Linked DNA regions of Cricetulus griseus. The protein of the gene in region 1 interacts with the protein of each later gene in a biochemical or structural test. Links are inferred from orthologs where the notes say so. Each region holds a gene or a part of one and is shown in the gene's direction. Other genes may lie near its edges.

What was found.
Region 2: the proteins of Arfip1 (region 1) and Arf3 form a complex in vitro, tested with the Homo sapiens proteins (2 studies listed by BioGRID). The link is inferred for Cricetulus griseus from reciprocal best matches to the Homo sapiens genes ARFIP1 and ARF3.

Annotation. Positions count from the first base shown.
Region 1 is NW_023276806.1:69,867,162-69,870,977, forward strand, and holds part of Arfip1 (arfaptin-1), read left to right. Parts: intron 1-611; coding exon 612-707; intron 708-2,006; coding exon 2,007-2,119; intron 2,120-3,816. UniProt on the Homo sapiens protein: Plays a role in controlling biogenesis of secretory granules at the trans-Golgi network. Mechanistically, binds ARF-GTP at the neck of a growing secretory granule precursor and forms a protective scaffold.
Region 2 is NC_048595.1:395,235,338-395,239,253, reverse strand, and holds the start of Arf3 (ADP-ribosylation factor 3), read left to right. Parts: upstream 1-1,434; 5' UTR 1,435-1,625; intron 1,626-2,382; 5' UTR 2,383-2,459; intron 2,460-3,916.

The DNA of each region.
Region 1 (3,816 bases):
GGTTCAGTAGGCGTGAGCATCTGCATTTCAACAGGCCTCGGGGTGACTGGGTGGCTGAGGGCACCTTGTATTCCCAGCATGAATAGCAGTAGTCTGCACTGCATCACACTTGGTTTATGATTGGGAAAACTTGGCGACAGTTCCTACAAAGGCTGTAATTCTTACAAAAGGGCACGCTTCATTCACATTTTTGTAAAAAGTATTAAAATATGCTTCAGTATTCCTTTCTATACCTAAGCCTTTTCTTCATAGTATATACTGGGAAGTTATGAGATATATATTGAAACTATAAATTATTTAACTCAAGGACTTTCATGTGATTTGGTTTTGAAAACATCAGACTCCAGGGAAACTTGTTTAGATATGATCTTGCCAATTCTTTTACATAGTGAGGTGGTTTGTTTGGTTTTGATAGACTAATGACAGGTTTGTATAGAATTCAGCCCCTAGCATACTATTAGTCCTTTCCTGCAGGAGAACAAGCATATTAATTGTAATCTTAATTGCAGTGTTTGCCCATGTTAAAGGAATTGACACTCAATCTCTGTTCAAAATGTCTGACATATGGAGGAGGAAGTGGATTTTCACAGTTTAATGTCTGCCCTTTCCAGGTCCCTCAGCGCCACCTTTGCCATCTGTTCTGTCTCCCAGCAGGGTTGCAGCTAGTCAACTGGCTCAACAAGGAGGTGATCTAACTGTTCCTGCAGGTATTCACGGCACAGACTGAATGAGCCTCTCCTGCTGATGCCAACCTAACTCAGTTTCATAATTACTCACTCTGTGTTTGTAGGCGTGTGCTCCTCTGGCTGTTACTGTTGCTGCTGCTGCTGCTGCTGCTGCATTCTCTAATGATAAGAGAAGTCATCTTTCTAGCCATCGCCTGTCTTTTCAAAACAAATGGATGCATCTTAAAACCTGAAATTTAATGATTTTTAAATGTGAAAACATAGTAAAATATATTTGGTTTAGTTCATTCTCTCTTTTTTTCTGGCTGGTACAGGCCCACTTATTTGATCCTAACCTCTCAGCTTTGCAGCTCTGCCCTCCTTGCAAACCTAAAGGGAGCTTTGGGAGTCATGTTATTATTGAGAATGGATGGGTCAAGTGAAAAGGTTGTGTATTCTTGTCAGCCTCAGCATACAGATAGTTTGTAGCTTGCAACAAAATACTGAAAAATAGGCTGGATTTAGTAGTGCTTGATTGTAATCTCAGCACTGGGAAGGTGGAGGATGAAGCGTTTAAGGCTAACCTGGACCACATAGGAGAGACTCCCAAAATCAAAACATGAAACGAAAAGAAATGGAAAAACAAACCACACATTTCTTTTTGTATGGCATTAACATTTTATTTACTTATTTTTGCATTGCTCTGATTCTTACATCTATGTTAAAGCTATCCTAAAAGCTAATCTGGCTGTTGGAATAAGGTGGGGGAAGAAAATTTATACTCACCCTGATTTTTGGGGTGTGTGTGAGTACATGCGCATGTGTGGTCCAAAGGTCAACCTTAGTTGCCCTTCACCGGCCCTCTCTGCCTTTACCTTTTGGGGCCAGTGTCTTTCACTAAGCCTGCAGCTTATCAAATCTGTTAGGCTGGCTGACCAATGAACTCCAGGAAGCCCCTCGCCACCATCTGTGCTGGGGTTACCAACCTGCACCACCACACCCAGCTTTTTACATGGGTGCTAGGGATTTGAACATGAGTCCTGGTGCTAGTGTACCAGGCACTTTACAGAATAAGCAATCTGCCCAGACCAGCCAGATTTTTGTTGGTTTTTGTTTTTTAAGATAAGTTTGCCACAGATTTCATTTCTTAAAGTGAGACAAACCACGTGTTTGTTTAATGGACAGAATATTTGTAAGCAATTAGAAAATTATCCTGCATGGTTCTAGAGGCTCTAGTCTTTCACACAGTAGGGACCTTTGTATTTTTTTTATGTTTAAATAGTTCAGTTTGAATAGCATCAGGCTTCATTTTCTCTTTTGTCTTTTGTTATGATCATGCAGGTGGCCAGAGAACACACACAAAAGGTGGACCAGTTATTCTAGCAGATGAAATTAAAAATCCTGCAATGGAAAAGTTAGAGCTTGTTAGAAAATGGAGTCTCAACACATACAAGGTTTGTAATTTTTAAATATTTCCACCCTAACTGTCTCTAAGACTTTCCATTTATAAGTTATGTTATTCCCATTATCATATTTATTATGCTTATACAAACATATGAAAAATAATACTGCCTTCACATGAATATGCAATTTGGAAATAAAATATTTGTTTCATTATTTATCTTTACATATAATTTAAAATTTAGTACAAAGCAATTTTAAGAACACTTACTAAAACATTTAACTCTGACAAATAATACACCTATTTAAAAGAAGACAAAACAAAACAAAACAAAACCCAGTGTTCATGCATGCCTATAATTCTAGCACTTAGGAGGCCAAGGCAGGAGAGTTGTCGAAACTTCCAGGCCAGTCAGGGCTACATAGAGAAATGCTGTCTCAACACAGAAAGACAGACAGACAGACAGACAGACAGACAGACAGACAGACAGACACACACACACACACACACACACACACACACACACACACACACACACACGTTCTTAGAATATCTTTAACTAAAGAACTACTGTAGTGGTACTCACTCCCTCTCCTTTTTTGATAATTCACTTACTTCTTAAGAGACACAGTCTCATTTTGTTGGCCTGTCTGGGCTTCCCTTTCTGGGATCAAGGGATCCTTTGACTTCAGCCTCCTGAGTTATAAGGACTACAGGCTCATGTCCCTGAATGTGACCTTTTCTTGGTATTTTATAACAGACTAGTTCTCCAAAGTTGGAAACTGATTTTGTAATAATTCTTAACTGTACAGGCAGCACCAGATTATAAATTCAGCATGGCTGTTTGCATTATTTCCCTAATGATGTCAGCAAAACAAGCCAATTTTTAAATCTACAGCACATTTGATCCATTACAAATGTCCAAGCCACAAATCCACTTAGTACATGTGAATCTTAATAGGGATCAGACCTACAAGACATGGAATACTTAGATGAAAAATTCCAACAGCTCAGACTATAGCATGAGCTTTGTGTTTTGAGTTGGCTATGGGTCTAGTGGTTGCCAAATCAAAATTGCCTACATTTTTTACACATAGCAGTTTTTCTCTAACATGTTTTCTCAAGACTAAAGCAGGGTGAAGTTATTCTTTCAGTTAATAATTTTAAAATACAACCTGAAACCCTCTTTAAAAAATACAAGCTTTCTTGCAGTATGGGGTGTTTCTTGAACTTGTATATTCTAAGTCAGCACTCTATAACAAGTTTTCTTAATGTTTTTAAGATTTATTTATTTTGTTTTTTGTATGAGTGTTTTGCCTGCATGTAAATATGTGTACCATGTGTGTGCTATGTGCCTATCAGGAGAGGACAGCGTATCTCCTGGAACTGGAGTTCTAGATGGATGGATCCCATGCGGATACTGGGAACTGAAACTAGGCCCTCTGCAAGAGCAACAAATGTTCTTAACTACTGGACCATCTTTCCAGCCCCCAAAATTTTCTTAATAAGATAACAGTGCTTTGAAATCTACACGAATCTTCCCAGAAGTTTATGTCATCATGTCACCTGAGAAATGCTGGTGGTAGTCTGCAAAAAGTGCTGCCTACATTCGCAGTTCTTCTCACACAGGGCATTCCTTATAAGTCCTTGCCCTTCTGTTCTCAGGGGTAGGGATATATGATTTCTGCCTTTATGTCCTCTCGTAATACAACTGTTGATTAATTGCAAATCTTCATCCCTTCTTGTTGA
Region 2 (3,916 bases), on another chromosome or scaffold:
TTACAAACAAGATTGAATTACATGACAATCTCAGTTCCCTTCTCCCTCCCTTTCTCCCCTACCACCCCCCCAACTAAAATCCTACCTATCATATGTCCTTTCTTCTAATCTATACCTGACTCAACCTTTCTGCTTCCTCATGACCTCTGTATCCTTCCTTTTCTTCCCTTCTCACTCTCGTAGCTTCCTCCCCCCTCTCCCCATGTTCTCAATTTGCTCAGGGTGTGTGTGTGTGTGTGTGTTTTGAGACAGGGTTTCTCTGTGTAGTTTTTTGTTGTCCTGGATCTCTTTCTGTAGACCAGACTGGCCTCGAACTCAGAGATCTGTCTGCTTCTGCCTCCCGAGTGCGGTGATCAAAGGTGTGTGCCACCACCACTTGGCCAGCCTATTTCTCAGAAGAAGATAAGAGCAATAATTTTGGGTCAGGTTCTAGGGAAAAGCTGTTTTTCCATATATGACATGCATTTAAAGAATGTGGTGGGGGCTGGAGAAATGGCTCAGCGGTTAAGAGCGCTGGCTGTCCTTCCAGAGGTCTTGAGTTCAATTCCCAGCAACCACATGGTGGCTCACAACCATCTGTAATGAGATCCGGCACCCTCTTCTTGCCTTCAGGCATATATGCAGACAGAACACAGTATACAAAATAAATAAATAAAATTAAAAAAAAAAAGAACGCGGTGTTCAGTTTTACTAGTGAGGGCCCCTCTAGTGCAGCTTCCAATATAGCTTCTAACCAGTCTCAAGCAGCGTCTCCATCACGTTTAAAAGAAAAATGAGTCTAAAGGAAGGAAGGAGGGACCATGGGTGCTTTGTCCTCGGCTACTCATCCAAAGAGACTTCATCAGACCTGCTTCTGGGTAATTAACATTTCTGCCCTTCGTCTTTCAACTTCCTAGACGACCCAGATTCCAGACGTTTCCTCCAGTATCTCAAATGCATTAATCTCTCCCCTCTTCCATTATGAGAAACGATCTCCCGATTCAGACCTCAGAGAAACCATCCTTAGGGATCAGTGAGCAGCAGCAGCAGCAGGTGGGGTGCTGCGTGTTTATTAGAAATAAAGACCGGAGTAGGGGCAGGTGTCAACAAAGGTTTTCGCATCCACACTCCACCGCTGGCTCAGCCTGAGAAACCCCAGACACTCCCTTGTTCAGGTCGGGCCTCTAGCGCGGCCCGAATGTGGTCTCAGTCCTCAATTCTAGGCCAGGCCCCGGAGCTTGGGAGCCGCACCTCGGTCCCCACACCACAGCCTCATCTCCACACTCAGCCTTTTCCAGCCCCCACACCAGGCTCTGCTTCAGCACCCGACCGCTTTTTGCTGCAGCCGCTGCCATGGTGATGGGTCTCGCGAGAACTGCCGCTCGCTACCGCGCACTTCTCGCGCGATCGTGGAGGTGGGAAGTATCCCGGACTGGGGGTGGGGGCTCGCCGCACATCTCCTGTCGCCGTCGCGGCTTCCGGTGCTAGGTGGAGGGAAGGAAGGAGGGGAGCCGGGGAGCGGGCCAGCGGACCAGCGTCGCCGCCACGGTCGGCTCGGGGAAGCGGGAGGCAGCGGCCCGAGAGCCAAGCGGAGCCTGCGGGGGCGGAGGTGGCGGTGGCAGCCGCGGCGCTGGGCGCAGGAACAGGTTCGGAGCTGGAGAGGGAAGGCGGGTCCGGGGCAGGGGAGAAGAGGCTGGCTGGGTCGGGTTGCGAGCCGAGGAGCCCGAGGCCCCTCCTGCCGGGCGAGGGGCGGGGGGCGGTGGTCCCCAGCCCCGCTCCTGCCCCCGCAGCTGAAGGACGCCGAGCCGGGGTGGGGGCGGGGGGGGCGCACGCGGGCTCCGTCCTCCGCCTCGCCCGAGGAGGGGGCGACCTGGGCTGCAGAGGTGGAGCTTTCGAGCTTGAGGGGGAGGCGAGTTGACCGGTGGGAGGTGATGCGGGGGCGGTGTGGCTGTTTGGATCTTTTCCTTCTGTTGAAGGGCTATGAGGAATGCTGCCCTTTTTTTTTTTTTTCTTTTCTTTTCTTTTTTCCCCCTCTCTCCCCCGCCTGAGCTGTGGGGGGACCAAAGAAAAGCCTCGCTGTGGTTATATTCTCCCTCGCCCGTCGTGAGGCATGGGAGCCGGGGTTTGGTATCAGGGCCTGCTGGTGGGGCACCGCTGCCCACCGTTTTCATGGAGGTTGCGCCCTGCTTTGGGGTGTTGGGAAGGGCAGGTTGGGAAGAGGGCAGCAGGTGGGGAGAGGGTGGAGAGAGGAGGCTGGAGAAGGGGGAGGGGGACCTGAGCTAGCTTGGAGGATAGAGGTGGGGCCTTCCTCCCCCAGGCGTAGCGGGGGCGGTCTCATCGGAGGAGGGAGCATCTTGTCACTGGCCCTGAGTTTGTGTCTTCCAATCCGCTTTCTTTCTCTAGGAAGTACCAGGATTCCCGGAACAGAAAATGAAGCCCTTGCTTACGCCAGTCCTTTGAAGGAAGGGGGAGGTGGGGAGGTAAAGTTCCCCCATTAAAACGCAGCCCCACTTGATTAGTTAAGTGGTGGACTCTCTTTTGGAGAGACTTGTTCGTTTTGGGAGTTCTGTTACTGCTGGTCTCTGGGCCTGATGGAGGAGAATGTGGTCAGGAATGAGAAGAAAATAGTAAGGTCATGAGGGTGAGGAGAAAGGTAATGTAAAACCTATCTCTACGGACGCTGGATTGGGTCACCCTTGGTCTATGGCATGAAAGTTTTATTGGGAGGAGATCTGCTGCCGGAGTCTGATTGCTTGACTCATTGCAACAGGATAGAATCTAGTCTCTGCATACCTGCATCTGTCCCCAGTCAGGTAGATGGAGACTGTCTTTGCTGCCATTTTGTCTTAGGCCTGTTTGGGGGTAGTGTCAGGATGGGCGGTGGCCAGAGGTGGTGGTCTTTTGTGTCCTGTTTAAATAAATTGTTAAAGCCCGTTTTAAGAAAGGCTCGAATCACTCGTTCATTTTTGCACAGAATGAATCATTGACCTTGGAGGCAGCTGGAAAAGGAAGGCTCCCATTTGTATCACATTCAATGTCTTGCCATCTTGCACAGTCAATTTTCCTTCCTTTCTTTCTCTCTTCCCCTCCCTCCCTTCTTTTCTTTTTTCTTTGAGACAAGATATCTCTGGGTAGTCCCCTTGATGGCCTCAAACTTACAGCTGCTGCCTCTGTCTCTTGAGTGTTGAGGTTACAGTGTGGGTCCCCACAACAGACCCCTACTGGCTATTTTGAGACGTGCTGGGTTTGAACTCAAGAGTCTTTCTTTTGTAAGATGAACAAAGGGATGGGAGTGTATAGCAATCAGCAAGGTTTCTAGCTATAGTTTCAGGAAAAGGGACGGAGGAGATCTCGGCACTAGGAGATGCAGCAGGAGGATAGAGGTTTAGGCCAGTCTGGGTTATGTAGCAAGACTGTCGCCAACAAAACAAAATAAAAAAACCTGACATATTTAGAGATAGACAAGCAATTGTCTATCTTATCAGGTGTTAAGGGTGATATTTTAGTGTGCGTTTATCTGCTCCCATTTCAGTATTTATGAAGAGAGGAAGTGGGATTAAAGGACAGAGCAATCTCTATTGAGAACAAGAAACTTCTTTAAAATTAGGTTTGTTGCCGGGTGGTGATGGCTCATACCTTTAACCCCAGCACTTGGGAGGCAGTTTTATTTTTTAATTATTTTTATTTTATGTGCATTGGTGTTTTGGAACTGGAGTTACAGACAGTTGGGAGCTGCCATGAGGATGCTGGGAATTGAACCTGAGTCCTCCAGAAGAACAGCCAGTGCTCTTAACCACTGAGCCATTTCTTCAGGCACTGAGACCTTACCTTAAAACAAAACAAAAAACCCAAACAAACAAAATGAAGGCTTCAGGGACCAGTGGGAGCGTAGGCTTAACACAGTGGTTCTCCACCTTCCAGTTGAGACTTTTTAGGA